4 linked regions of the Notamacropus eugenii genome follow. Each later gene encodes a partner of the first gene's protein in a complex. Links are inferred from orthologs where the notes say so. Each region holds a gene or a part of one and is shown on either strand. Other genes may lie near its edges.

Region 1 (7,496 bases):
TCAGAATCTTTTTGCTAATGGAGGGTCTTGCCTTAATGTTGATGGCTGCTGACTGATCAGGGTGGTTGATGAAGGTTGGGGTGGTTATGGCAAGTTCTTAAAATAAGACAACAATGAAGTTTGCCTCATTGGTTGACTCTCTCATGTGCACAGTTAGAGGCCATTGTAGGGTTATTAATTGAACCAATTTCAATATTATTGTGTCTGAGGGAATAGGGAAGCCTGAGGAGAGAGATAGGCATGATAGGTCAGTGGAGCAGTCAGAACGTCCCCAACATTTATTAAGTTTATTGTCTTATATGAGTGGGGTTTGTGGTGCCCCCAAACAATTACAATAGTTACATCAAAGATCACTGATCCCAGTTCACCCTAACAGCTATAATAATAATTAAAAATTTGAAATATTCCTAGAATTGCCAAAATGTGACACAGAGACATGATGTGAGCTCATGGTATTGGAAAAAATGGGTGATAGACTTGCTTGATGCAGGGTTGCCACAAACCTTCAAATTCTTTTTTTTAATTCAGAATCTTCAAAGTTCCATAAAGTGAAAAACAAAAGGTGGAGGTATGCCTGTGCTTCATTTCCTAAGGACATTTTTATTGACTGCCCCCACTGCCTGGAATGTGCTTGCTCTCTCTCTGTCTCCGTCTGTCTGTCTCTCTGTCTCTGTCTCTGTCTCTCTCTCCATCTCTGTTTCCTACTTTCTCTGGCTTCCTTTAAGCACCAGTTAAATTCTCACCTACTAAAGGAAGCCTTTCCCAATCTCTCTTAACCCTAGTACCTGCCCTCTGTTGGTTACTTCCAGTTTATCCTGTATATAGCTTGTTTGCACATACGTGTTTGCCTATTGTCTCCCCCATTAGACTGTGAGTTCCTCAGGGACAAGGTCTGTCTCAGCCTTAACTGTGTTACAAGCTGTATTAGCCGAGTCACTTGACATCTCAACCTCAGTTTCCTCACCTGTGAAATGAGGATAATAATGGCACCTATGCATATCAAGTTATTGTGAAAATCCAAGAGATAACACATCTAGTGATTTGTAAACTTGAAAGCACTATATAAATGTTAGCTATTATTAGCCATGTAAAAGCAAAAGATAGAAAAAGAAAAGCTATTTTAAAAATTTCCAACCTTCCTTATGACCAAAAATATATATAAATCAAATGTTTCGGATTTTAGTGATGAAACCAGTTAGACTCACTCTCAGAAAGCAGAAACAGTTTGTGGCTAGACCAGATTTGAAATACATCGAACCCAGCTGAAACTTCAAGGGATTACAAACTGCTAACCCTACAGGGCCTTTAATAACCCAGGGTTACAGTCACAATCCTGGAGATGCAGCTTGGAGGTAGAGCTTCTGTGGAAGGTTAAGCATATATATAGTAATTCAATGTACTTGGAGAAAATGTTTCTTCCAAAGAATTCAAATAGGTTATTGAAACAATATAACCATTACGGAAGCTGTGGCCCAGTGGAAAGAGGTCTGGACCTGGAGCCAGGAGACATCTGGATTTGAATTCCACCTCTGACTTTTAGTATGAGTCTGAATTAATGAATTCACCTCAAAGGATTGGAATAGTTTTCAGAAGAAGAAAGTCAATTGATTAACAACCATATGAAACAAATGCTCCAGATATTTAAGTTCATAATAAAAAGAATAAAAATTTAATGACCTCAAAAATGCAAATTAAAACAACTCTGAGTTCTCACCTCACAGCCATCAGATTGGCAAAGATGATACAAGACAGAAATAGTTGGTGTTGGTGGAACTGTGAATTGGTCCAACCATTCTGGAAAACAAATTGGAACTAAGAGAAAAGTCCCTGAACTGCTCATTCCATTTGGCTCAGCAATCCCACTTCTGGGTCTATCCCTTGAGGAGGGCAATGACAGAAAACAAGGTCTCAAATAGAACAAAATACTCATAGCTGTACTCTTTGTGCTTGTAAAGGAAAAAAAAAACTGGAAGTAAGCATCCACTTTAATTGAATGAATAAACTGTAGTATATGAGTGTAAGATTATTGCACCAGTAAAAGAAAAAAAAATTAACAACCACCAAATTTGAGAAATTCAATGGAAAGACCTGCACGTGTTGATGCAGGGAGAAGAAAGAAACCAGAATCTAGAGAACAGTAGACAGACACAATGACTACATTTGCATAACATAAATGAAAACAACCCTAAAAAGCAGTTGATCTCAGATTAAATTCAATGAACAGTCTTGGTGCCTGAAAAAAAAGATGAAGAAACATATCCTTCTTCGTAGAGAGGTGGGGAAGGCAAGGTTCTCAACTGTCAACCTTAAGATGTGATTGCTGATGTAAAGCTCTTTGCAAGTCTTCAAGCATAATACAAAGGTGAACTACTATTATTCATCCCTTTGTTTGGCTTAACTGTTTTTCTTTTGTTAATCAATCGGCCAACAAGCATTTTTCAAATGCCTACAGTGTTTTGGGCTCTTTTTAGGTAGGCATTGTACTAACCACTGAAGATACAAGCACAAAAGGAATATAGTCTGTCCCTGAAAGAAGCTTGCATTCTGTTGGAAAACCAAGTGCCTGTATAAGTATATGAAAAATAAATACAAGATTTTTTTTTTTTGAAGGGGAAGGTACAAGTGGCTGGGTGAATCTGGAAAGGAAGGCTTCATGTGCCTGATAGTGCTTGAGCTAAGCTTTGAAACTAGGTATTCCAAGAGGTGCAGTTGCTAAGAGAATTCATTCCAGGCATGGGAAACAGCCTTTACAAAACCATGGAATTGACAGATGGAGTATCTGGAATAAGGAATTGCAAAAAACGAAAATTTGACTGGACCTTAGAGTGTGTGAAGGGGAATAATGTATGATGAACCTGAGAAAGTTATTGGGTGGGTGGCTGGGGGGGGGGGAAGGTTATGAAGGAGGAATTTGTATTTGCTCCTAGAAATAATAAGCAGTCACTTATTTCATTAACCATCGGGGAGGCACTATCAGACCTGTGTTACAAAGGACATTTAATAAGTATGAATGTGAGAGTAAATCAGGAAATGATTGTAATGTTAAAAAAAGAAACACTTCAAAGACAGTCTGGCATAGCACCAAATCCTTGTTTCTGACACTTAATAGTTGTGTGACTTGACTCCTCAGTCTTCATCTGTAAGATGCATTGGAGGTCCCTTCTCGTTATGATCCTATGATCAAATTTTTAAAAAAAAGTTACTAAAAGAAAGTTACTTCCTCTCTATGGCTCTCAGTTTCCCCATCTGTAAAATGGGTTTAATAATTATAGCGTTGCGGTAAGGAAAGCTATACAATTCCTAGTTACTATATTCCACCGATCGATTGCCTACATAGCGCAATAGACAACCTGCAACATTTTGTATACGAAATGAGTTACAAAGTTAACCTTACTCGGCTACTGTTGCCATTTTTCGCTTTTTCAGTTTTGTAACTTCCCAGGAAGGTGCCAGGCCGGCTAGAAGCGCACTTTCGGGCTCCGACCCAGGAGCACTTACTAGGCGGCGCTGTTTCAGCTGCCACCCGCTTCCCAGGCCGCCCCTAGCGGCGAGCAGCCGGGGCTCTCCGGCTTCCCGGCCCCTCAGTCCCTTGGTCCTTTCCTCTCTCTCTCCTCCTCCTCCTCCCCCCCTCCCCTGGAGCCTGGGCTCACGTGACCCCTCCGCGTCCAATGGGCAGGCAGAGAGGCCGAGCTGGTCCCTGCGGCCGCCATTAAAGCGAAGGGAAAACCCGTGAATTCGGATTAAAGGGGGAAAAACACCGCCCGCCGGGCCCACAAAATGGGGGAGACGACCGCGTCCAGGCGGTGAGGCCGCGGGGGGCGGTGGGGGGGGAGGAGCGGACGGGCAGGCCGGCCCGGCCCGGTCCGGGGGAGGGAGGGAGAGAAGCGAAACCACCAGCGAAGAATGGTCTCAGCCCGCGGACGCCGCCACCGCCGCCGCCGCCGCCACCACCGCCGCCGCTGCTGAGCAGACTCCGGGCTTGAGGACGTCGCTGGAGCCGCTGCCGGGCCGGGGTCGGGGCCGGAGTCGCGCCCGCCTGCCCTACCTGCCCTGCCCCTTCCCTGCCTCCCCGCCCGCCCTTCCCTGCGCCCCAGTCTGGGTCCGGGCGCTGCGGCCTCTGTTTAGGTTTTTAATTATTTATTCTGTAATTTATTATTAATTATTCATCTCTCCTCTCGTGCCGCGGGGGGCTGCGTGTGCGTGCCAGTGCGTGTGTGAGTGACTGAGTGCGAGTGAGCGTGTGAGAGCGAGCCCCCGTCGGCCTCGGCTGAGCCGGGGGGCGGCGGGTCCCCGGGGCCCGGCAGCGGAGGCGGCGGCGGCGGCAGGTCCCGTCCCCCTCGTCCCCGGGCGGGGCTCCTCTCCAGGCTCGGCCCGGCTGACCCCTCCGCCCCGGGGCCGCGGCCGGGGCAGCCGCCGGGAGTGGGTTAGAGAGGGCGGGCGGCTGGCCGGCCCCGCGGCGGCCTCCTCTTCCACCCCCCTTCCCCTGCTCCCTCGCCCGCCCGCCCGCTCGCCCGCCTCCCTCCCCGGCGTCTGTGTTTCTCTCACTGGTCGGAGGCGGCGGTAATGGCGGATGGTGGGTTGTGGCGCCGGCGGCGGCTGTGAGGGACGATGAGTTCCTGCTTCGTGCCGAACGGGGCCAGCCTAGAGGATTGTCACTGTAACCTCTTCTGCCTGGTGAGTGAGGGAGCGGGCGGGCGGGCGAGCGACGGCCGGAGGGAGGGAGGGAGCGAGGGAGTGCGTGCCCCCGTCCCGAGGGGCCCCGGCCCCGGCTTAGGCCCCGGCGGCCTGGGCTAGGCCCCCTCCCCGCCCGCTGCTGGCGGCCCCGGGCGCTGCCGGGCCCCCTCCCCCCTCCCCGACTCCAGCCCCCTCCCCGGCTCGTCTTGAGTCTTTCCCCCTGCCCAGAATCCCTCTCCCCAAACCCTCTTCCTCTCCTCCCTTGCCAGGCCCCGGACCGACCACCCCATTCTCCTGTTCAGCTGCTGCTTTCTCTCAGTGCCCATCACACTTTTCTAGGACTGGTCTGCCCTGGTCTCTTTCACTCCTTGCTCCCTTCGCCCCTTTAAATGAGCGGTCCTGCAGGGAACCCGACCCAGAACCCCAAGCAAAACCCCAATTTTACCAAGAAGACTTGTCCCCCCTCCTTTTTTTCCTCCTCTTAACTTGCTCACCTTTATAACTAGCAGAGAGCGCTCTGAAACATTTCAGGGATGCCATTTCATAGTTTTTTTTATTTTTAATTATTACTTTGAAAACAAAGTTTTTTCCTTCCATTTTTGACAATTTTCTAGTCATCTTGCTCTGACTGGAACATTGTGTTGTGTGTGAGTAGAGGGCAGTAGTGGAGGAGGTGCTGTAGTGTTGCTTCTGAATGTTTCTATATTTGTGTATATTTTGGTATGCATTTTAAAATATTTTGAGCAGACTGCTCCTTGTTTTAACTGGAGTGAGATGCTTGGGAAAGCTAGGCAGCTAAGGAGGAATGCATTGTGCCAGACTGACCAGGCCTGAAAACATCTCAACTGTTGCAAACTTTCTAGTTCTGAATCTGAAACTCTTAGCTTTTGTTTTTAAGTGACTAGTTTGACCTTTTTTGTTTGCCTGTCTGTAAGGAAAACATTAAAGGGATATCAGAGTCAGGAAAGTTAATTGAGGGGATGAGAGCACAACTAGTTGGCAAGTGTAAGCTGCCGGTCATGTATCAGCAGTTTCATTTTTGGCACCTCCAGCTTTGTACCTTGAAGTCAGACTGAAGACAAGTTGGAATACCAGCTGTTAATTTTCCTCCCCACAATCTTAAATTTTAAAGTATGGGGAAATATTTTCTTACAGTTGGGCTATGTTAGTCATCCTTTTTGAGCACACAGCTTTCTCTTAAAACTAGGTTTTATCTTCTGGTTTCTCCAACTTCAGTTTATCTTGTATTTTAATTTTTGTTGTTTTTTATGATGAGAGACTAGTACAGATCTGACAGTTCATTATAAACAAATAGTGAAGACTGCCTAAAACTCTTAGTGAAGAATTGGAAAGAGTTTGCTTCAGATGTCATTTTCATAAAATGTTAATAATTTTCAAATACGTAGTTACAAGATACTTTAAAAAAAAAAAACTCTCAAGGGGTTTGAAGGAGGTAATGCTGCATTGGCTGTGGAATAGTAAAGGAAGATTGGGACTGGGTTTAGATCCAGTCTGATATATGCTGTCTATGTAACCTTTGGCAAATCACTTATTCTCCTTGAACCTCAGTTTCCTTATCTGTAAAGTGAAGCAGACTGGGTTAGACAGTCTCTGAAGTCTCTTCAAATTCTGTACCTTCCAATCCTGTGACACTTCTTACCCTTGAGGCTTTTTCCCCAACATTTTTGACTTTATAGGCAGCCAGTATAAATTAGAATATTCATCGAAGAAACATGAGTGACTTCTGATTGCAAGACATCCAGAGATTACAAAAATAAATAAGACATGGCCCCTGTCCTTGAGGAGTCAAATACAGCAGAAATGAGTTGTTCTCTAAATACGTTAAATATTATGACATGAAGTATAAGTTGCATAATTCTTCTTCTTAGGTCTTATACCTCAAAGCTTTCATTGGAAAAGCATGACAATCTCTTTAAGAAACTTTAAAGGACACTTATTTTGGCTCTGTATGAATGTAAGATAATGTAATCACACTTTTTTTGTTTTTTTAACTGTAGGCTGACTTGACAGGAATTAAATGGAAACGATATGTATGGCAAGGCCCAACTTCTGCCCCAATTCTGTTTCCGGTGACCGAAGAAGACCCCATTTTGAGCAGTTTTAGTCGCTGCCTTAAGGCAGATGTACTTGGTGTTTGGCGGCGAGATCAGAGACCTGGAAGAAGAGAATTGTGGATATTTTGGTGGGGTGAGGACCCCAACTTTGCTGACCTTATTCACCATGACTTAGCAGGTGAGAGTAATTTTCATACATTTGTAACATAAGAGAGCATTATGAACCTTTTGGGGGCTGTATTAATGATGCAGATTTTCTTAAATAACACTAAAAAAAGTTATATCTTGAAAAAAGGGTAAGTTATCATGGATGAAACCAGAATAAACTAAATTTTGATATGATTCCAATTCCCTGTGAATATTGATCCTCCTGTGCTTGGTTTGTTTTTTACATTGTAGATTTTCTGTGGCAAATTGTAGAATCTTGAATGTCTTTCTCCCATCACTAATCCCTGTAGGCTTTTGCATCCCTGCTATTAGTTTATTTCCTACCCAGCAAATACATAGTAACATTAACCTAAACAATTCAATTCAGAATGTAAATCTGGTACAGGACTTCATTGAATGTATTCTCGGGACCAATATAAATGACTTGAATTTTATCTTCCATTGCTGTTTTCTAGTAGTGAAAATAACCACTATTTTATAACTAGCATTTCAGGCTTCTAACTTATGATGCTTTTACCTAGGCTTAAAATAATTGAGAGGCAACGTGGTATAGGTATTCATTATGAACACAGGCAGTAT
Region 2 (7,904 bases), on another chromosome or scaffold:
AATGAGGAGATTGGTTTAGATGACTTCTAAGAACTTTTTTTAGCTCCAAGCCTATGATGGATAGATTGATTAATTGAAGCAGATGCAGTCTTAATAATCTTTTTGCTTTCATTTAGTATCCAATCAACTTGGATACTCTCCAATCAATATCCCCTTCCTGTGCCCCATGCCTGGAAAGCCCTCCTTCATCTCTGTCTCCTGGCTTCCTTGAAGTTTCAACTGAAATCCCACCTTCCATAGGAAGCCTTTCCCAATTCCTCTTAATTCTAGTGACTTCCCTCTCTTAGCTCTTTCCTAAAATTTTCCTAAATTTTTGTACATAGTTCTTTACATGTTGTCCTCTCCATTAAACTGGGAGCTCCTTGAGGGCAAGGATCGGCATTTGCCTTTATCTGTATGCCTGGCACATAGTAGGCATTTAATAAATGATTGACTGTTCTCCCTCCTTTCTAGTTACTTTTCTCTTTAGTCCATCCTACATAAGCTACTAGATACTACACATGCTACTTCATAAAATACAACTTACGTTATATCTTTCCTTTGTTTTAAAAAAAAAAACAAAAACACCAAAAAACCCTACCAAAACTTCAAAGACTACCTGCAAAATAAAGTTCAGACTTCTTGGTTTATCATTTAAGACCCTTGGCAACTGGTCCTAACCTACAAGTTCCAGTCTTATCTCCCATTGCTCCCTTATTTAAATATTCTACACCTGGCAGGTTGGATTATTTACTGTCCCTAGAACACACCTTGCATTCTCTAGCTTTTGCTCTGGGTGCCTTTGCTTTTCCCACCCTCAAATGCCCTCTCCTCCTCTTTGCAAAGCCTAGGGCAAATCTCAATCACTCTAGGTCTTCTCTAAACTCTAGAACTATCCTTTCTCTGTAACTTCACATCCATAGCCACCTCCTTCACAGAACCTTATCTGACCACCAATCCCCCTCTGGCTTGGTAGAGTGCTTTCCCTTATCAAATTCCTATTTTTCTATGGCTGTATTATATGTCTGCTCCCTAGTAAATTCTCTGAGGTTAGGGATTACACGTTTTTTTCTTTGTGCCTCTCTTTAGCACAGCGTCTTGCATATAATGAGCTTTTAATGTGTGCTGAAAGAAAACATCTTTGCATCAATCAATATTTCTTAATAAAAACTGACATTTATATTAGGGTCAGAGAAGTTGAATGACTTGCCCATGGTCTCAGAGCAAGAATCAGGATCTGAATTTATTTTCTGAACTCCAAATCCAACACATACCATTCACATCCTACCATCTACGTGCATTGTACTGTGATAGATACAAGGGATAAAAACATTTTTTTTAAAAGAAAAGAAAAATATAGTCCCTGCTCTCCAAGGGAATATTCTAAGTGCCCAAATAAGTATGGTACAAGATAGAATACAGGTGAAAAAAAGGCAAAAAACAAATCAGAAAAGGTGTTCTAGGAAAACTGAAGGAAGGAGAGCATTTTCATTTGAAGGGATCAGGGGAAACCTCCCTTATCACAGAGGGAGATGGTAGCTGAACTGAGCCTTGAAAGAAAAGAATGATTTCTATAAACGAAGATGGAAGAAGTATACATTTCAGGTGTGGTGTATGGCCCATAGGAGTGCACAGAGGCTGGGAGAAATAAGAGGAGATAAGGAAATATCTAGCAGTCCAGTTTAGCTGGAATATAGGACATATGAAGGAGAAACGTGTGAAATAAGGTGAGAAAGGTAATCACCTTTTTTGTTTGTTTTTTAAATCAAATATCTATTATGTTCAAGGCATTGTGCTTTGTGGAGGGGCTTAAATGATAAGCTAAGGAGTTTGTGTTCTAGTTGATAAAGCAGTGGGAACCACAGAAAATTTTTGAGCAAGGGAGGAACATGGGTAAAACTATTCCGTAGGAAGATTATTTTAGCGATAGGGTGGAAACAGTTGGAGGCTGTCTATAATAGATGCTTCCACTTCCTCTCCTTTCATTTTTTCTAAACTCTTTGAAATCTGGCTTCCAGCCTCATCTTTCCACTAAAACTGCTCTCCCCAAAGTTATCTTAAGTTCTCTTAATTGCCCAGTCTAATGGCTTCTTCAATCCTCTTCCTTTCTCTTGTTTCTGCAGCTTTTGACGCTATGGATCACCAGCTCCTCTTGAACTCTCTTCTCTCTAAGTTTTTATGACCTGGTTCTCTTCCTATCTAACTGCTCCTACTTTCCTGCATCTTCCTTTGGGCAACACCCACTAATTGTGGGTATCCGACAATCGTAGGTTCTCTTTTCATCTCCCTCTCTACTATCTTACTTGGTGATCCCATCAGCTCCCAAGGGTTCAATGATCAACTCAGTGCTCATTATTTTCAAATCTACTTATTTAGCTGTAATCTCCCTCCTGACCTCCAATCTTATATCACCAACCACCTCTATTTTTTTTTTTAAACTGAATAACTATTTCATCCAGGCTGAAACTCACACCATCTCTTCCTGATTTTACTGTTTGTTAGTTAACAGAAATTTCGACCTGCACTGTTTCTGACTTGTGTTGGTTCATCCCTCCTTAGACAGCCAGGGGGTCCTTCACTCCTGAGGGCCCTTCATGACTAGGGGATACTGGATAAGCTTGAGTTTTACTACAACTCAGAACTCTGGAGCTCAAGTGATTCACCAGCCTCAGTCTCCCCAATAGGAGAGATTACAGAGGTGTACCACCACTACTGCCTCTTAGTCATGTCAAACAGTGTCCTATAGTTCTCTCAAACAGCATTTCCAGTGTTTCTCCCTCAAACACACCCCTTCTTTTGGACTTCCCTATTATTGTCAAGGGTACCACCATTCTCCCACTCACCCAGATTTCCAATCTCTGTGTCATCTTGTATCCCTTACTTGTACTTGCCTCATGTATCCAGTCTATTTCTAAGTCATGTCATTTCTACCTTTACTTTTATCTCACATAAAAACTCTCTTTTTGTAATCACTCTAGTGGAAAATCTGCAGTCTCCAGGCCACATGTGATCCTCTAGGTCCTCACGTTCAGCCCTTTGACTGAATCCAAACTTCACAGAACAAATCCTTTTATTAAAGGCAGGTTCCCCACTCTATCCCAGTGCATACCCATCTCACTTCTCACCTGGACTATTAGAACAGCCTTCTGATTGGTATCTCCCCTTCCATTCCATCCTCTACTCAGCTCCCAAAGTGATCAAAGTGATATCACCCCCACTCAGTAAAATCCAGAGGCTCCCTATTGCCTCCAGAATCAAATATAAAATTCTCCATTTGGCTTTTAAAGCCTTCCACCAGCTGGCCCTAACCTGCCTTCCAACTCAATCCTCCTCCCCCTACATTCTCTATTATCTAGCAGTATTGACCTCCTTTCACATAATATGCCATCTCCTGACTCTGGGTTTTGTTTTGTTTTTTACTGACTATTTGGAATGCTCTCCCTCCTTATCATTACTTCCTGTCTGCCCTGCCTTTTCATAAACTCAGCTCAAATCTCACCTTCTACAAGAGGCTTTTCCCAGTTTTCTCCTTTCTTAGTGCCTTCTCTTTGAGATTACCTCCCATTTCCCATGTATATTTTATATGTACATGCTTGCTTGTACATTAGAATATGAGTTCCTTAAAGGCTTTAGTCCAGTGCCTGGCACATAGTAAGTACTTAATAAATGCTTGTTGACTGACTAAAGACCAGGAGACAATTTAGGAAGCTATTAGGATGGTCCAAGGAGGGTTTAAATTGGGGAGGGTGGCAAAATGTCAGACTTCTTTTCTAGGAGTATTCCCAAGTAGATCATGGACAACACAAGAGGACCTCTAAGTACAAAGATATACAGGGATGTTGTATTTATAATAACAATAACCTGAAAGCAAAACATGTGCCCATTACACAATGGCTAAACTCTAACGTATGACCGTAATGGGATGTTGCTCTGCTGTAGAGAAGGACAAGTACAAAGAATTAAGAGATATTTGGAAAGACTGATGCAATGATTCAGAGTGAACAAAATAAAGCCATACTAGCTACCCGTTTTGGTCCCATCAATTCCTCCAAAAAGAGGAAAGTGACATGTATAGAATTAGCCAAGTGAACTGTGAGGTAACTTTGTTTCAGGGAGATAGACTTGGTGGAGTTCAGCAGCAGTAGATGTGAACTCACTAGGGCAGAGGACAGCTTTCTGGTTGGTCTGGTTTCCCCTAAGAGATCTGAGGCTTACCCCCTGGAATTCAGCTGACAAGGATAAAAGGATCTCCAATTTCTTCAGCTTGGGAGCTCCCCCTACCAGATGGCTGAGTCTTTGTACAAGGTAACCTGCTTAGACGTTAAAGTTGGCAGAAGTTCATCAAGACTTGTTTGAGTCAGTGACTAAGTATCCTTTTCCCCCTATTTCATAGTTATTATTTTTCCAATTACATGCAAAGATAGCTCTCAACCTTCACTTTTATAAGATTTTGCGTCCCCATTTTTTTCTCTCTCTCCCTCATGTGCCTGCTCTCCAAGACAATCTGATATAGGCCATTCATGTACCATCTTATTAAACACATTTGCACATTGTTACTAAGTATCCAAGGCAGGATTTGTGAACCCAGGTCTCGTTGATTTCAAGTCCAGCTGAGCACTTGGACTGCTGGCCCAGCCTGCATACAGGAAGCATTTAATAAAGAGGACTTTGTAGAGGAAAAAGTCTTGGTTTTAAAGAGAAACTGAAGGTCCAGTCTCTTTCCCTGTCTGAACGTTAGTTTTTTCCTTCCTTCAAATAAGATGATCAGTAAGGTAGGCTGTTTCAAGCTATAGATCTTGCGACCCCAGGAAGCTACGAATTGAATGGCGCCTTCCACAGGGCACTCTCTTTGGAGGCCGCCATCTTCCGTACGCAAGGACCACACATTACGCATGCTCTCCTTTTCCGGCGACTCCAAAACCGATTTGTGCGCATGCTCGCTCGCAGTCACCCGGACGTTCAGCCGGCTGCGCTTTGATTAGAAGAATTGAGAGCGAGGACCACGGGCTTTCGGGCCTCGGTGCGTCCGGGTTTCCGGGAGGGGGACGAGGAGGGAGAGGGAGCTCGGCCCCGGGGCTGTGGGCAGCGGAGTGGAGCCGAAGCTAGCCCCGGGCTGGCCTGGCCTTGGAACAACAGCCTCTGCAGCCCTGAGGGTCCGGGGTACGCTGAGCCTCTCGTTGTTGCGGCGCATGCGTAGTTTGGCCTCACAATTTTTTTAATTGAGCCCGCCCCTTCTGTGTGCGCGGGAGGGGGTCGGCGGTAGATGGGGGGGGGGGGGCGCCCCAAAGAGCATCCCCCTCCAGGCCGAGGTTTCTTCCAATGTAAAATAAGATTTAGAAACCGGTCTCTGAGGCCCCTTCCAACCCCAGTCTATTTCACTCGTTTCTTACTAAGTCCGGCTCTTCCTGACCCCGTTTGGACTTTTCTGGGCTCAGATCCTGGAGCGCTTTGTCCTTTTACAGATGAGGAAACTGAGGCAGACCCAGCCTGAGGCCCGACTCGAACTCAGGAAGATGAGTCTTCTGATTCCTAGGCTCTGGGTGGGGTGGTTGTGGTTTTTTTCTCTTTCGGGGCTCACGGTCTTATTTCCCTTTCCTTCCCCGTCCCCCTTTTCCAAATAAAGTAACTGAGGCTCCCCAAGGTTTAAGGGATTTGCCTTAGGTCGGTTAGGGGTCCGAAGCCATCATCGTTCCCAGATCTAGCACGATTTATGTTAAAACGGCGGGTCTTTGAGTAATGAGCGAGTGGTCCCAGGCTAGCTATCATGACCTGGGCTGTGCAGGAGGTGAGAAATAACCCAGGCTTTATGAGAGAGGAAGTGACATGTAGGTAGGTACTATCATACAAGGTGAAGTGTCATGAGGGCAGAAGAAAGATCCAGACCTAGCCCACCAAGGAGAAACATCCAGTTGGGGACTTCTGGAAAACTATAAGAAAAGAAATGAGGAAAGACTGAGCATTGGACCTCACTTAACTAACTGGATGATGCTGGGCAAGTCACTGAACTTCCCTGCCTCAGTTTCCTCAGCTGTAAAATGGAAATAATTACAACACTCATCTCCCAGAGTTGTTGTGAAGATCCAATGTGTTATTTGTAAAACGTAAATGCTTTATGTTATCACTATTTTATTAATGCAGTAGCCAGTGGTAATAATTAGTGGCATTTAACTTTTCAATGTTTTCAGAGCACTTCACATGTGATAACCCTCTAAGATAGTTAAGGAGTGTCATCCCCTTTTCATAGACAAGGGAAATGAGATTCAAAGAGGTTGGGTCATATATCCATGGTCCTAGTAGCCAGTAAGTGTCAGAGCTACTGTTTAAAACAAAGGTTTTCCGATTCCCACTGGAGTGTGCTCTGTTGTGCCAAAAAAATACAAGTATTAAAATATAAATAAATGTGGGAGAGCTTCCATAAAGTGATACCCCAGTAAGAAAGCAGAATCAAAACAATAAAAAGTGGGGGAAAAAGGGGACATAAACAGGATATTTTAGTTACCTTGTTAAAGATGGCAGATGCTTCTTTTCTCGAAGTGAAGTCTATGATTTTATGTGTAGTTTAATTTTATTTCAGTGTTTTTACTTTAAAATACAAAAATATAATCAGCTTATTGGGCAAAGTGATCTGTAAGGTCCTATCACTTCTATAATCCAAGGATCCCTTCTGAATCAGATTTTCTTTTGTTTCTTATCACTCAGGGAAGCTGACAATATGGAGGCACCTCCAGTCACCATGATGCCAGTAACAGGTGGCACTATAAATATGATGGAGTATTTACTTCAAGGTAAGTTAGCCTAGGAATTTGTTATATCACCCATTTTGTCCTCTTTGAATCAGTTATGATAAACATTTTTGCCAGGAAATAAGGCAGCTATGGTATGTATGGTTCTGGAGCGGGTAATAGGAAGCTTGGATTCTGGGTCAAGCTTTGCCACTAAGTGGTTGTGACCTCCAGATAAGGAAATTCATACTCAGGTTGAGTAGCCCTTGGGGCTCATTGTAAAAACAGAGGATTAGAGTAAGGTGATCTCTAAGATCAAGTTGTATTTTGGTTTTGTAGATGGTTATCTGAAATGTAGAAAGCTAGAATGATGTTCAGGGTTTAATGGAGCTTCCTAGGAATTCATGTCCTCTGTCATGCTCCTTCTGTTTTTTATTTTCCTAATGAAAGTGAAGAATGAGGTTCCCGTGATGTTTTCCTTCCCTTTAGGAAGTGTTTTGGATCACAGTCTAGAGAGCCTCATTCACCGACTTCGGGGACTGTGTGACAACATGGAACCTGAGACTTTTCTTGACCATGAAATGGTGTTCCTCTTAAAGGGGCAACAAGCTAGCCCTTTTGTTTTAAGAGCCCGGAGGTCGATGGACAAGACTGGGGCACCCTGGCATCTGCGCTACCTGGGACAACCTGAAATGGGGGACAAGAACCGCCATGCCCTAGTACGTAACTGTGTAGACATTGCCACGTCAGAGAACCTGACTGATTTCTTGATGGAGATGGGCTTTCGAATGGACCATGAGTTCGTTGCCAAGGGCCACTTGTTTCGAAAAGGTATCATGAAAATCATGGTATACAAGATTTTCCGAATCCTGATGCCAGGAAACACAGATAGCACAGAGGCCCTGTCCCTCTCTTATCTTGTGGAGTTAAGTGTTGTGGCACCAGCAGGACAGGACATGGTCTCTGATGACATGAGAAATTTTGCTGAACAACTAAAGCCTTTGGTTCACTTGGAGAAGATAGATCCCAAAAGGCTAATGTGACAGAAAGGGACTGCCTAACATTGGGATCTGTTCTTTTGCGTAATAGAAATCAAGACTCCAAATAAATACACTTGAGCAACAAAAATTGAACTTTTTAACCTTGAGTATAAGGGTTCCAGGAACTTACCTGAGCTCTGGACCTCACATCTCTTTTTCTAGA
Region 3 (7,277 bases), on another chromosome or scaffold:
GACATAGGCACGCTCAGCATACAGACTGCACTCCCACCCAGACCTCAGGGGTGGGACCACATGTGACACAGGAGGATGCTGAGATCTAGGGGGAGAAACAGCCTGACCAAAGCTGGTGGCAGAGCCAGAATTCAAGGTCAGGCTTCCAAAATCTCGGCCTGGTCATTAGGCCAAATCTGTACTCAGACCCACGTTCTGATGAACTCAGTCTTGTGATCAGCAGGACAACATGAGACTTGACAATAAGGACATCTGGCCCTTCCTGACCGCCTCTCCCTGGTCAGCATGCAAGCCCAGGACAGGTTAAGTTAGGTAGACAGAGAATTAGAATTGGAGATAGGACCACCTGAGTTCAGATCTTGCCTCAGACACTAGCTGTCTAGTCTTCCTAGATTACTGACGCTGGGCAAAGCCCTTAACCTGCCTAAATCTCAGTTTCCTTATCAGGAAAAGGGGACAGTAGCCATGTGTGCCTCCCAAGGTTGCTATAAAGATCAAATGAGATGGTATGGTAAAGCATTTTATATGTGCTTCTATGAGACAAGGAAGCAGGAAGGACCAGCTGGGGACTGGGATTCTCTCATGCTTCCTGGGAGCTTTCCAAAAGATGCAGCCTACCTTCCCTTGTCTCTACTGTGTGTCCTCTGCATATCTGAAAATAATTTTACCTCCCCTAAAGGGTGGCCTGAGTCTCAAAGGGTGGCCTGGGTTCTAAAGGAGTGGCCCGGGTTCTAAAGGAGTGGCCCAGGTTCCACAGGGAGGCCCAAGTTCCAAGGATAGCCCCGGTTCTAAAGGAGTGGACTGGGTTCCAAGGATGGCCCAGGTTCTAAGGGGTTGCCCTGTACTGGTGGGTACTCTCTCTCACCCATACTTCTGCTGCTTGGTGGTTCAAAGCTCTCCTTCCTGCTTTCAGGGGCCCAGATCAAGCACCAGGTGGGGCCTCCCTGTGACTCCAAGCCCTCCCCTGCTCTTCTTTCAGTCTAGGGGTGCATTTCCCATTTCCATCCAAGACCTAAGAACTAAGCCCAACCCCAAATCAGCAAACAGTGAAACAATCCCAGGAAAGATCAGGGCCTTTGCCAAGAGAGGAGCTCAGGATCAAAGACAAAGGAGAAAAGCCATCTTTGGAGAGCCCCATCATCAGATGAAAGGCCAGCGCCAGGTCAGGGCCACAGGAAATCCTCAGGGTCTGAGAAGCCCCTCACAGCTAAGGCTTCAGGGGACTTGGAAATGAAGGCCCTGGATCTGAAATCTACCTCTGCTATTTCTCACGAGTGACCTAGGGCAAGTTATTTTCTCTATGTGGACCTCAGTTTTCCCAGAGGACACTTAAGATTCCTCCCAGCTCTCCATCTGTGAACTAAACTGAAGACTGGGGATGCTGAAGCAATGACCAGATGGCTCCTGCCCCCTTGGCCTCTCACCAGCCTTCTCTCATTGCCCAGTGAAACCTCTGCTTGGGCACCTGCTGCCCCCTACTGTCCATTTTTAGCCTTAATGAGGGCAGGCTTCCGACATCCATCCAATTCTGCCAAGGTGCGAAGGTCCAGGCTGCTTCTGCTCAGCTCCGGGGCAGTACCAGGGCCAGTGAGGGGGAAGGTGGACAGGAAGATTAGGGCTCTATTCCTGCCATGAGAGCTGTTCAGTGAAGGGTGGAGAAGAGCAGGGTCCCTAGAGAGGCAATGATTCCTGAGGATGCTGAGCTTTGGAGGGGCTGCTGTGGGACATCCCTCAGCTGCACACAGGACAGTCTGGCTGGCTTGGAGAGCTTGTGAAGGTAGCTAAGTGAGTCTGGAAAGGCAGACTGGAAACACACTGTGGAGGCCTCTGCCCACCACTCTGGGGCATTCTCACTTGATCTGAGAGTCAGTGGGGAGCCATAGTTTTTGAATGAGGGAGTGAGGTGGTCAAAGATTTGGGCCTTTCCCATCCACCATCATCCCTTGGCACACAAGAAGCAGCTTTGTCCAGGGATGATCCAGTTCTCCCCATGCTGGCCAAAGAACCTTGGTCCATGGCTTTAGGAGGCGAGCTTCTCTTTCCCTTCCTCCTCTTTGACCCCCAGTCTCCTGAAGTGGATTTGGACTCTCCTTGCCACTGTGAATCTTGATGACCTGGGGCATTGCCTTGTCTTCCGGGATGTAGATGACCCTGAAACCTCTGTATGCAAAACTATTTGCTCCAGGAAGAACTTAATGCACAGGGCACTGAGTAGGCCATAGGAAAGTCCAGCTGCCTTCCATGCTGCTGGGATCCTCTGCCTTGGCCATCTTGGGGGCTCTCTAAGGAGCACAGTGACTTGGGAGCTCCAGGGCCTGGTCTGTTAGGGATCCTTCACCTCCCACTGCCTGTCATCATTTTTAACCCAAACAGAAGCTGTTCCACAAAGGCAATCCAGTTTGTTCCCTAGTATACTAAGGAATCATGACTCACATCTGGGCCTCCTGATGGCTAGCTTCGAAGCCTATTTCCATGTGCTGAACTAGACTTGCGTATTGCCCAGACCCCCCATTCCATGCTTTCTGAAGAGCTCCTGTCTCTAAAGAACTGTGCAGTGCATCCTCAGAACAGCCCTGCAGGGTGAGGAGGGTCTATTACCTAATGCATGTTTTTCTGTTACCATTTTAGCCAGAAGAAGTGACAAGCCCAGGTGACAGGGTCAGTGAGGGTTAGAGCCTGGGCTTTAACTGGAATCTCATGGGGGGTGAGGGGAGGGGGCTTCCCACGATGTCTTGTTCTTTCTTCTACTCTGATGCCCTCCCCCAGTCCCATCTCCCAGTTCGGTTGAGAGGGATGAAGGAGAAGTGACCCACCCTAGCAAAACAGGTCAGATTTACCCTAGCCAGAAGGAATGTCTCCCTAGCACAGACTTTGGAAGGAACACGTCATGTTTCCTCCTCTCTACTAGAGTATAAGCTCCATGAGTACAGAGACCTGGCCAGCTTTGTTTTATATCATCCCCAGGCCCTCACACAAGCTGTGAGCACACAGCAGGCACTCCAGAAGTATTTGTTGGGTGCATGGATAAGTAAGTAAGGAAGAGAATGGAAGAAGGAAGGAAGGAGGGGAGGAAGAAAGGAAGGAAGGGAGAGAGGGAGGAAAGGAACGTCATGTGGGAGGGGCAGAGAGAACAGTTGGGCTGGGTGGCTGAGTGCAAGAGGGAGAGGAACAAATGTGAAGTGAGTCTGAAAAGGCAGGTTGGGGCCAGCTGTGAAGAGCTTTAAAGGCTAAATGGGCAGTGGTGTGCAGATAGATGGTTAACAAGCAGTTCTTGAGGGGCAAATGAGACACTTTACAGTTTAATTTGTGTAATTAACATTTTCTCCACCACTTTCTTAAGTCTAGACAATCAGCACAACAATCCCTCCAACTGTGATGTGTGGGGTTCACTGTCTCCCAAGGTGTAAATGATCACACTGAGCATGGAGCTGTGGGCTCCCCCACTTGCTGGGCAGCTCTAGGTGACTTCAGCAAAGCCCTGTTAGCAGGGATTTTATATTTCCTTCTAGAAGCTGTATAGAATTGTTGGGATTATTGAGCAGGAAATCACATGACTGGATCTGTGTTTAAGGATGTTACTTTGACAGCGCATTCTAGGGCTGACTGGAATGGGGAGAGACTTATCCATACCATGGATTTGCTTGAGTTCCTGGTGTGAAAAATAACTCATTCAGGCTCCAGAGAGATGAAGATAAAAGAAGAGTTTACAAATGCACTGCAGCGTCCTGCTGGATTGACACACCCTCCAGAAACAAAAGGAAGCCTTAAAAACCCATGCCCCACCACAAAGTCCCTCTCCTGTCTCCCTAGAGGCTGGGTAATGCAGGGCGTACAGGTTTCTGATCCTCCCTCACATGTTCTCCCTCTCCTGTACACACATCGTGTAACCACTGAGATGAAGCCTTAGCCCTCCCAAAGGAGGAGAATGGGCATTCCAAGCAAGACTTTACTCCGTTGACTTCTAACCTCAAAGCAAGATAAAACCCAGCTGGAAGCATGCTTTGCTGCGTGAGACACGAGGAAGGAGTTATGTCTCCCACTCTGCTGGTTGTTATTCTAAATTTATGGACACACACTTCTCTATTACGTGTCTCAATTTTCCTTCTGCTGCTGGAAGATACTCTAGTGCTAGTCTATGCTGTTAGTGTCTTCTACAGCCAATTTACTTTCCTGCATTTGCTGCAAAGTCAAAAGACTTCCTGGTACGCATGCATCCCCTGGATTAAAAAAGTCACATATTACATAATTTTGGTGGAAACAAAAGGTTGTTTTTATCATTCCTCCCAGTCCTTCTCCAGCTTATTTTACAGATGAGGAAACAGAGGCAAACAAGGTGAAGTGACTTGCCCAGATACAACTAAGAGCCTGAGACCAGATTCTAAACTAGGTCTTTCTGACAGCAGGCCAGGCACTCTAATCACTGTGTGCCACCTAGCTGACAATTATGAGGGAAGTGGCCCTATTTCACAACAGAGGAATGGGGAGAGACTTGTGTCAGGCAGACCACCAGCAGGCTTCTTCAATAGTCCAAATATGAGATGATGAGGGGACTGCACAAGGTGGTGGCACAGGTAGAGAGATGTTACGAAGGTGACAGGCCTTGGTAACTAATTAGATCTAGGGGTAAAAGGGAGGAGTTCAGAACATCCCCTAGGTTGCAAATCTGGGTGACTAGGAGGATGGCAGTGCCTTCCACAGTAGTGATTGTGTGGTTTGTCCTTCATTCTTGAAGAGGACCATAACATCAGGGAGATGATGACATGATTTGCAATTGACTTTGATTTGAGTGAGGGAGGGCTATGCAAGGCAACTTTCTTTTCCAGAGCCATCTGGGTTCAGGGGCCAGATATCCATTAGGATCTGGAGGAGGATGCAGTAGGAGATCTCAGCCCTTTTAAGTCTTCTCAAGGGATGATCTCTTTAATGATAATAATAATAAAATCAAACTGGAAGGGGAAGACTTTCAGGGTTGCTGGCCAAAAGAGAAACAGTTAATATTTGCATTCACTCTAAGCCAGGAGGGCCAGTAAAACAACCATTAAGGCAGGGATCTACTGTGGTCAGTCCTTCAGATCCAGGGTAAATTGGGTTTAAGGCTTTGTCTTTGAAAAAGAAATCTAGTCAGTAAACCCCAAGTTTAAGAAGGAAGCTTTCCACCATCAAAATTTACATTCCTTCGGACAGAACATCAGAGAAGGGAAAGTAGAGGAGAAGGGATCGGAGGAAATGGAAAAAGAAAGGGGAAAGGAGAGGGAGAGACTTAGGAGGAGAGGAGCCTTCCACATTAATAGAAAAATGAAGAATGGAGGCCTGTAATGTTTGAGACATGCTGAGCTGAAGAAGTCTACAAGACATCTTATGGGAGATGGCCAGTAGACAGTTGGAGGTCTCCCTCCCAAAAAAATCGGCAACGCAGGAGACCCAGAGAGGCCAGGCAGTAGAGTGAGCTAGGTCTCGGGGCTGCACAGCAGGATCAGTCAGAGATTAGATGTTTGGTTTTTCTCCAGGGCATTTTTCCGGAGTTACAGATAGTAAAGTAACAGTGTAGCCCTCACGCCCGACCCCAGGGATTGGATTTTGCGCCCTACCCAGGTAGTTACTTTGTATACATCCTCCCCGTACAGCTCCTAGTATAGAACGCGTTAATTTCAAGGTTGCTCCTTCCGCCCCCTGCCCATGGCTGCTTGTGGTTACTTTGTATCCATCCGACAGTAATCTGTCCGACTTAATTTCAGGATCGGGCTCCCCATCTACAGTTACTTTGAATCCATTCTACCGGGGAGAAGTCTCCAGACCCAGACAAAGTCAGTTTCAGGGGCTCCCCTCGCGCTCCGCCCCCGTAACAATAGCTGCTACATTGTAATTCAGCTCCTCAGCAGGTTGACCTGTGCCTCGGGTGCTCGGCGGCGGGCACTTACAAAGCACCCAGCCCCATGCGGCCCGGAGCCCAGGCGGGGTGGAATTCTGTAGGGCGCAGTGATCCCGAGGTAGGGTGGCCCCGCTCCGCGCCCCCTTTCCCAGGCAGCTGCGCGCCTCTCCCTGAAGCACCGCCCGCAGCCCCTCCTCCACCGCCCATCTCCCGCCCCCTCTCCCACAAGACGCCGCGGCACGCAAGCGCGTGGGGTGGGACGCGGCGCAGGGTCTTAGGGCCCGCGGTGTCGCTGGCGCGGCTGCGGGAGCGGGGCGGGGCGGGGCGGGAGCTCGCTTATGGCCGCCGCCGTCGTCATGGAGACCTCGGGTGAGTGCAGGCTCCTGGCCGGTTCCGGGCTGGGGGGGAAGTGAGCTCCTGGCTGCGGCCCATTTCGCGGTGGGAGGACTGCGAGGCTCGGCTGGGGCGGGAGCGGAATCTCACGCGGCTCCGGACGCGCTGAGCTCTCCTCTCTTCCGCAGACGACGCCGGGAACCGGCTGCGCTTCCAACTGGAGCTGGAGTTCGTACAGTGCTTGGCGAACCCCAACTACCTGAACTGTGAGTCCCCGAGGCTGCTGAGCTGGGTGCTAGAGGCGGCTGGGGAGGCAAGGGCAGGGTCCCGACTGTGTGTGGTTTTTATTGACAAGAGCAGGGCTCAGGGCACTAGGGCCAGCAGGTAGGGGAAACTGAATCTGCTGCCAGGGAATGATTTTGAGACTTTGGGGTAATCCTGGGGCTGAGCTGCCCCAAGGCATTGAACATCATCCTTAGTCATACTCAGCACTGAGAAATGCCAAAATGCCCCAAGCTGTTCCCTTTTTCTACCCGAGCTTCGACTCTAGTAATTGAGCTTTGTTCAGCCTTTCTCTCCAATCACCTGTTCCTGCTTACCTCCTTATCTCTTTTCATCCATCCATTTCAGTGTCCCTCCCTCCACCCCTTTCACTTTCTTAAAAGACCTAGCTGAGTAGTTGGTCTGGGATGGTGATCTGGCCTATCGGAGAGGGGCTGGCATGCCCAGCCCTGGGAGGGTTTCTCTTGTCTGCATCCTGTGGGTGAGCAGGTGGGCCCCAGAGTGACTTCTTTGTCTTCCAGTCCTTGCCCAAAGAGGGTACTTCAAGGACAAAGCTTTCGTCAATTATCTGAAATACCTGCTTTACTGGAAAGAGCCAGACTACGCCAAGTACCTGAAGTAAGTCTCAACAGCGAATTCTGAATTTGGAAGCTGATGTTTTGCCTTAGAAGAAATAATACCTGACTGGCTTCCCAGGTGCCTTCTGGGGGTTGGCAGAGTGCCAGCTGTACTTCATCCTTAACTCAGGCAGCTGTTGGGAGTCAGGAAAAGTCAAGTTGAAATGTGGCCTCAG
Region 4 (7,323 bases), about 18 Mb from region 1:
GGAAGATACAAGTAGCTGGATGTCATTTTGTGTGAATTCCAGCTGGGCTTCTATGTCTGATGCAAAGAATCACTCAGAGCTCCCGAATTCAGATAAACAATTATTTTATTAAATATCCATTATGGAACATTTACCTCCTTTCATCTACTAAAGAGGCAGAGTGTTATCATGCCTAGAGCGCTGGCATTGAAGCTTGAGAGCTGGATTCAAGTTCTGCCTCAGACAGAAGATGGGCTGTGTGATCCTGAGCAAACTGGAAAAATTTTAAGCAACAAGCTTCTATTTATTCTCTGGACATTTACAATTTTTTTCCAAATATAAGATCATAGTTTTTACATATATTATCCTAGCTTCTTCATGCAAATTGGTGTAGATGTCTAACATTATTTTGTAATTTTGAGAAAATTAGATCATTTATAAATTTTTACAAGTTTTTCATGGGGAAGATAGGAGTTGCTAATATTTTTATGAAGAAATAGGAGTAAAATCAGTTACCGACAACACCTTTTTAATGTTAGAGTATTTTCTTTTGGTTTCATGCTTAAATGGCAATTAGCATGCCCATATCCTCCATTATTTATCTTAGCACTAATGTTCCCAGAAGGCTACATTAAGAGGGACATAGATCCATAAAGCACTTAGGAATAGTTTTACTATATACCTAGTCACTGTATTATAGCTTCCAAGAACAGGGAGGGGATAATATCACAGTCCTCTGCCCTTATCAGACCTCATCTTAAATACTGTAGTACCATGATTTATGAAAGATATCAATATAAATTGCAAAGTGGAGGACAACAGAAATGGAAAGGGACAAATGAAGATGGGCTAAAGGAATTGGACATGTTCAACAAAGGATAAAGGAGAATGGGGTAGGGGTGAAAGGGTACATGAGAACTGGAATGCTACCTTAAAAAATCTGAAGGACCATCTTGAGGAGGAGAGATTATACTCATTACACAGTACCTCCCCTCCAAATAAGAACAATGGGTAGAAATGTCAGGAAAAATTTTCTAACAATTTGATGAATCCAATACCAGAAAGAACTGCTTTGAGAGGTTGTAGGCTCTTCTTCCTTGGAGGTCTTTGTCTGCTATATTAAGAGTACGGATTCTTTTTGTATGAGTTGGACCAGTTAGCCACTGAGGTGCTTTACAACTCTCAAAGGCTGTGAGCTCACTACTAACTGAAGCAATCCATTTCACGTTTTTTCAGGTAATTGGCATTAAGTGACTTACCCAGGGTCACACAGCTAGTGTCTGAGATTCTGATTTGAACTCAGATCCTCCTGATTCCAGGGCTGATGCTCTATCCTTTATGCTACCTAGCTGCCACACCCATTCTACTTTTGAATAGTTGTCTAAAATCTGCCTCTATTACTTTTATACAATTTTTAAAATTTGTTTTCTAAGACCAAAAAAGACCAAGTACAATCCCTCTTCAAATATTTTCTTTTGTCCTCTCTACCTCCTACAAAGTCTTCTCCAGGCTAACCATCTCCAGATGACATTACCTCCTATCTTCTTAGCATCTTCAGCACTATGCTGGTATGCAATTCCTGTCTGTGACCTTCCTAAAACATGTTGCACAGAACCAGTTGCAATATTACAGATAGGCCCTGCCAGGCATACTATGGTTGAATTTGGACACTATACTTCCATTATGCAATATATCATATTTGCTTTTTTAGCTGCTGTCATGATGAGATTTATCTTGGGCTTACAGTGCACTAAAAGGTCCTAAATTTAGTCAGTCATGTTTTCTATAGACTGTAATGGAAGAGTTGGTCTGTTGAATTTGAGTGAAGGACTCTGCATTTATCACATTAAATTTTATCCTATTAGATTTGGCATGGTGAGGCAGTACAGTATAGTGGATAAGAAGGGTGAACTAAAACCATGAAGGTCTGGGTTCGTGTCTTGTCTCTGATATATACTGGCTATGTGACTCATGACAAGTCCTTTAGCCTCTTATTACTCTTGGCAACTCTTCACAACTGCACATTGCAGGGAAGGTGCCCATACATACTGGTAGAGGAGGGGCTCCTCATGCCAATGAAATTCTAAGTCCAGTCCTTATCTTTGTCAGATTATTTTCTTTTCCTAGATTCTGCTCATTGCTCTAGCCTGTCAAGATTTTCTGGGATCCCAATTCTGTCACTCAGCATATTTGCTATCCTTTTCAGCTTTGTGACATTTTCAATTTTACAAGTATGCCATCTGTCTGTCATGCAACTAATAAAAATGTTGAGAAGTAAAAGCTCTAGGATGAAAGCCTGGTGGCATTAACTAGAGTCCCTTCAGGTTGACATCATTCTATTAATAACTATTTGGGGGAAGAGGGAGCAGCTGTTTAACCAGTTCCTGAAACCTTCCTAACTGTACTATCAGGTAGCCCACATCTTTCCATCTTGTTCACAAGCGTATTATTATAAAACACTTTTGTCAAATGTCTTGATGAAATCCTTATATGCTATTTTTATGTCACTTTCTTGATCTATAAACCTTGACCAAAAAAAACCAAGTGAAGTTAATTTAATATAAAATTTTTTCTTAAAATTTTTATTGATATCTTGTTTTTGGATTGCATTCATACTTGATCACAACTGTCCCCTTTTTCTACCCTGTCCCATGTAACAAAGTATAACCCTTTTAACAAAGAATAACGGGAAAAAAGCAGCAAAATAAAACTAACACATACAGCCCAATCTTGTCTGATAGTACATGGTGATCGTTGTTTCCTTCCTAAAGGGTTCATAAGCTAACCCTTTATAGAGTGTTTTAAAATTTTGTCAGAAATGAAAGTCAAGCTTATTGGCCCACAGTATAAGGAATCTAATTTTTTTCTCTGTTTGAAAGCCAGGACATTTGCTCATCAGAAGGCCTTTGGCAACATTCCTTCCTTCCATGATTTTTCAAACATCGCTCAGCAATCATATCCCTTAAATTTTTTCACTACTCCGAGAGGCAGTTTTTTCAAGCCTAGCGATTCGAGGCCAGATAGTTTCTTACATTCTCACTTGAGTTTCTTTCCTTTCAACTATTTTTGCTTAATATTCCAAAGTCTAATGATAATGGCTTTCATATTCAACTATTGTTTTTTCTTTTTAAAAATTTATTTATTTATTGTTGCTTTTTTTTTTCTCACCAAGAAAAATCATCTCCAGGCTGGTAAGTTTCTTTGCCTAAGGAAAAAATCATGAAACTTCCCTGTCAGATTTATTTCCTTAGGAAGGAAAACAGAAAAAAAGAATTGAGTTTTTTGATATGCATCATTACCCTCCCAACTGCCTGCAGAGTGGCCCAATCTCTTTCTTGATTTTCTCTTGGCTCTAATATTGCTTAAAAAGCACTTCTCCACAGGGTATTGACGCACGGACTAATGCATTCTTAATGGAAACAGCTGTCTTATTCTAATATATTTTTATATCAGAACAATGAAGCTGGAGAGAAAAGTGGTTATTCTTAACCTAAGGCTTGTGGGTGATCATGAAAAATAGGGGTGGTTTCTTCATGTAATAAAAACTGCCCTGGACTAGCCATAAGATTTGCATTCAAATTCTGGTTTTACTACTAACTATACCCATGACCTTTGGACACAACCACGAATGGTGGAAAGTGAAAAAGCAGTAATCGGGAGTTACAGCCACTTTTCAAAGCCCAGCTTTGCTCTTTACTATCTGCATGACCTCAGGCAAGTCAAACATTACTAGAATTTAAGTTCCCTGAGGACAAAGGCTAAGTCACTCTTGCACTGGTACCCTCCACCGCCAGCAGTGTCCGGCGCTTGGTATGGGTTTAATGTTGCTGGCGAATCGCTCTAGATTTCAGTTTTGGTGTTTTTTGGTTTCTTTTTTGCAAAGCCAAGGGGTTGGCGTAAATGATCTCCACAGTCCCCCCAGACCTCTCTAGCACCGAGTTCGCTTATCTGTAAAGTGGAGATCACCACAGCGGCCATGCTCTCTGCCTCGCAAGGTCGCCGCACGTTTTATGAAGCACGAGGAACTCTTGGCCACCTCCAAGCCCTAAACACCTAGGAGCTGGGATGACAGCGATGAGAGGATTCCTCAGCTACGAACAAAAAGCCTTAGACGGCAAACTCTCTGGTTGCCAAAACTGGAAAAACGATTTCTGCAAGCGCTTACTTCTTCAAACTCATAGTATTGTCAGCCCTAGGCGTTTTTCCCAACTGTGAAAGCCACTGGAGAGAACCTGCAACTCACAAACCCTAAGAAAGAGGAAGAGGAAGTCGGCGAAATCTCGCGAGACCCTTTCCGCGAGCCTTGTTTGCGTGTTTCTTCTGCACCAGGCACGCATACGTATGTACGCACGCCCGTGCGCCGGCTCCCCGCTGCTCTCGCGAGCCTTGGGGAGGGTCCGTTGGGAAGATGGCGGCGGCCGCGGGCACCCTTCAACTTTTGCCGCCGGGCGCTTCGGACTGAGCCTCCCGGAGGCGGGGGGCGGAGCGGGCGGCCCCGGAGCCCAGCGCCCCGGGAAGCCTGAAGCGGCTCGGCCCCCCGCTGGTGGGTGGGGAAGGGTGTCTCCCGTTGTGTGGCGGGCGAAGGCCCTCCTTCCCCGCCTCCGGGATGAAGGCTCAGGGAGAGGCAGAAGGTTAGTGCTTGGGGCCGAGGGGAGGACGGGCCCGGTCGGGCGCGGAGACACAGGTTTGGGGTCCTGCTGGAAGCGGGTGGACCCCTCTCAGGTTGGCAGAGCCCTTGCCGTCCCCTGCTGTAGGCGGCGGGCCGGAAACGGGAGGAGAGGCGGTCCGCGTTGCTGCTGACGTCCTGGCGGGGGGTCGTCAGGGGAGTGGCTGGACCTAGGTGGCCTCGAGGATCCTCTACCTGCAAGCCCGAGTAAACTCTTTGTAAAGGAGAAGCAGAAGGGCATCATGGATGTTCAAGAAATAACAGACGTGCCACAAACCCACGAATAACTGCTGTTCCGATCCAGAGGCTAGCTTGTAGCACGAGCAGCCCTCCGATCGAGCGTGGGGTTCGCTGCTTTTTTTTGAAAAAAGTCTATTAAGTAGCACGAATAATAGCGCTTTAGAGCTTGCGGAGCACTTGGCTAGCTTCATCTCATTTTCGCTTCACCACAGCCCTGGGAGGTAAGTGGTGATTCCCACTTCTCCGACTGGAAAACTGAGGGAGACACTTCCCGTGGTTTCCTTAGAGTCCCGGAGATCTAGTAATGGCCAAGGCTTAGGTCCTTCCACCCTGTGCACTGCACCGGCATTGATAGAGTGTAGTGATGTTTGCAGAACTTGCGTACGTAGGTTTTCTCGTGCTTAACCCTAACAACGTTTCTGGGAGGTAGGTCCTGTTATTATCTCCATTTTACAGAAGAGGAAACTGAAGCTGAGGGAGATTGACTTTCTCAGGGTCATCCAGCTAGTGCACAGAATTTGAACTTACTCAGGTCTTCCTGACTCCGGATTCAGTGTTTTATCCACCATGACACCTAGCTGTCTATGGTCTTTAGACTTTGTTTTGATACAGTGGATACTTTCCAACAAATATCCGGATGACATTCCTGCTCTTACTTGTCTTTTTGCTGCCCACCCCCATATTCCTTATTCCTCTAGTTGTCAGTGCTTTCCCCTGTTACTTTGTATTGTTTTATACTTGCTTGTGTTGTTTCTCTATAGTAGAAAATAAGCTCCTTGAGAGTATAGGTTGTTTCTGTTTGGTCTTGGTTTCATTTGGTCTTCCTAAGCATTGAGCACTGTGATGCTATAAATACTTATTGGATCAAATGACAAGGTACATTCTCTCAAAACAAAACCATCTAATAATAGCATATCCTTCTTAAAACCATCTAATGTAGATGCTATTATTATCTTCCTTCTAAAGAAACATATGGTCTAGAGAATAGAAAGCTGGCCTCAAAACTGGAAAGACCTGGACTCAAGTCCTGTCTGTTACACATGCTAACTCTGTGACCCTGAGAAAATCACTTCATCTCTTAGTACTCCAGGCATCCACAAGTTGCAGAGAAGGTGTACTAACTTGATTTGCTGGAGGGAGTTTTCCTATCTGGGAGTTTCCTCTACTAGTGAGATCACTGGTCCGGTTCCTGTCCCTTTGCAGATGAGAAAACTGAGACTCAAAGAGGTTAAGTGACTTGGTTGCCTTTATATAGCTAGTACCTGAGGCTGGATTTGAGCATATGTTTTACTGAAATCCAGCACTCCATCCATGATTTCTCAGTGCTTCTTGAGAGATGACACAGACTCCATTTACAATTTAATGAGGAGAAAGGCCAAGTGTACACCTCTGGTACCAGGTCTGGTAAGATTCAGTTCCACAAAAACTCATCAAGAACATAATATTTATCAAGGCAATGTGTTGTGTACTTTTTATATAGAGACAAAATGAATGTTATTCTACTGGGAGAAGCTGTATATACACATATATGCAAACATATGCACACGTGCACACACAAACACAGACAAATAAATGCAAAAATATAATAGCTAGAGCTTCCAAGAAGCAGCATTAAGAAAGGGCAACATTCCATACATAGGGAGGAATGTCAACATCCTGTACAATGTGGGAAAAGGATTGTGACAGTCTGGTAAAATATGTTGAAGGCAGAGTGAAGGACACTAAATGTCCTAGAGACAATAGGGAGCCATTGAACTTTCTTGAACAAGAACGTGACATGATCAGATCTGTGCTTTTGGATTGTTAATTTGGTAGCTGTGTAGAGAGGATGGATTGGAGAGAAGAAATGGAAAATAAGAAGAATAGTTAGGCTATTGCAGTAGTCCAGATTAGAGAAAGTGGGAGCCTAAATCTGTCAACCAGCAGGCATTTATTAAGTGCGTACTCTGTGTGAGACACTGTTAAATACTGGGGATTTAAAGGCAAAATTGAAACACCCAATATCCTCAAGGAGCTAATTTAGAATAAGTTGAGAGAAGAGGACATATGTGAAAAATGGAAGCAAAGTTGACAAGTTGTAGTAGCTGACTTAATATGGGGAGCAAAATCAAGGATGATGCCAAGTTTGGGAAATTGATTGTTATAGAGGAATTATGGTGCTCTTGAAAGAAATAGGGAAACTGGGAGAAGGAGGGATGGATTTGTTAGGGAAGAAGATAATGAGTTCCATTTTGGACATTTTGATAATAAATGTGAGAGACCCAGGCAAAGTATGACAAGAAATTTGAAGGGGTGTTCACTTTCACTCAGAAGTAGAGAGGGAGAGAGAGAGAGAGTGAGCAAGAGCAGAAAAAGTGCCATATGAGAGCTGGCAGCTGAGTTCCTTAAGACTGATGCTGGGGCAACTTAATTCCAAGTATAGGGCATTGACTAAAGCA

The links.
Region 2: MED13 (region 1) and MED18 share a complex: the UniProt entries of both Homo sapiens proteins name them as parts of the mediator complex. The link is inferred for Notamacropus eugenii from reciprocal best matches to the Homo sapiens genes MED13 and MED18.
Region 3: MED13 (region 1) and MED31 share a complex: the UniProt entries of both Homo sapiens proteins name them as parts of the mediator complex. The link is inferred for Notamacropus eugenii from reciprocal best matches to the Homo sapiens genes MED13 and MED31.
Region 4: MED13 (region 1) and MED1 share a complex: the UniProt entries of both Homo sapiens proteins name them as parts of the mediator complex. The link is inferred for Notamacropus eugenii from reciprocal best matches to the Homo sapiens genes MED13 and MED1.

The regions. Positions count from the first base shown.
Region 1 is NC_092873.1:373,002,839-373,010,334, forward strand, and holds the start of MED13 (mediator of RNA polymerase II transcription subunit 13), read left to right. Parts: upstream 1-4,480; 5' UTR 4,481-4,608; coding exon 4,609-4,674; intron 4,675-6,692; coding exon 6,693-6,927; intron 6,928-7,496. UniProt on the Homo sapiens protein: Component of the Mediator complex, a coactivator involved in the regulated transcription of nearly all RNA polymerase II-dependent genes.
Region 2 is NC_092876.1:69,438,587-69,446,490, forward strand, and holds the start of MED18 (mediator of RNA polymerase II transcription subunit 18), read left to right. Parts: upstream 1-4,889; 5' UTR 4,890-4,999; exon of another isoform or gene 5,000-5,139; intron 5,140-6,678; 5' UTR 6,679-6,691; coding exon 6,692-6,764; intron 6,765-7,190; coding exon 7,191-7,744; 3' UTR 7,745-7,904. UniProt on the Homo sapiens protein: Component of the Mediator complex, a coactivator involved in the regulated transcription of nearly all RNA polymerase II-dependent genes.
Region 3 is NC_092877.1:388,545,415-388,552,691, forward strand, and holds the start of MED31 (mediator of RNA polymerase II transcription subunit 31), read left to right. Parts: upstream 1-4,266; 5' UTR 4,267-6,207; coding exon 6,208-6,238; intron 6,239-6,390; coding exon 6,391-6,468; intron 6,469-7,005; coding exon 7,006-7,102; intron 7,103-7,277. UniProt on the Homo sapiens protein: Component of the Mediator complex, a coactivator involved in the regulated transcription of nearly all RNA polymerase II-dependent genes.
Region 4 is NC_092873.1:354,984,872-354,992,194, reverse strand, and holds the start of MED1 (mediator of RNA polymerase II transcription subunit 1), read left to right. Parts: upstream 1-4,319; 5' UTR 4,320-4,585; coding exon 4,586-4,610; intron 4,611-7,323. UniProt on the Homo sapiens protein: Component of the Mediator complex, a coactivator involved in the regulated transcription of nearly all RNA polymerase II-dependent genes.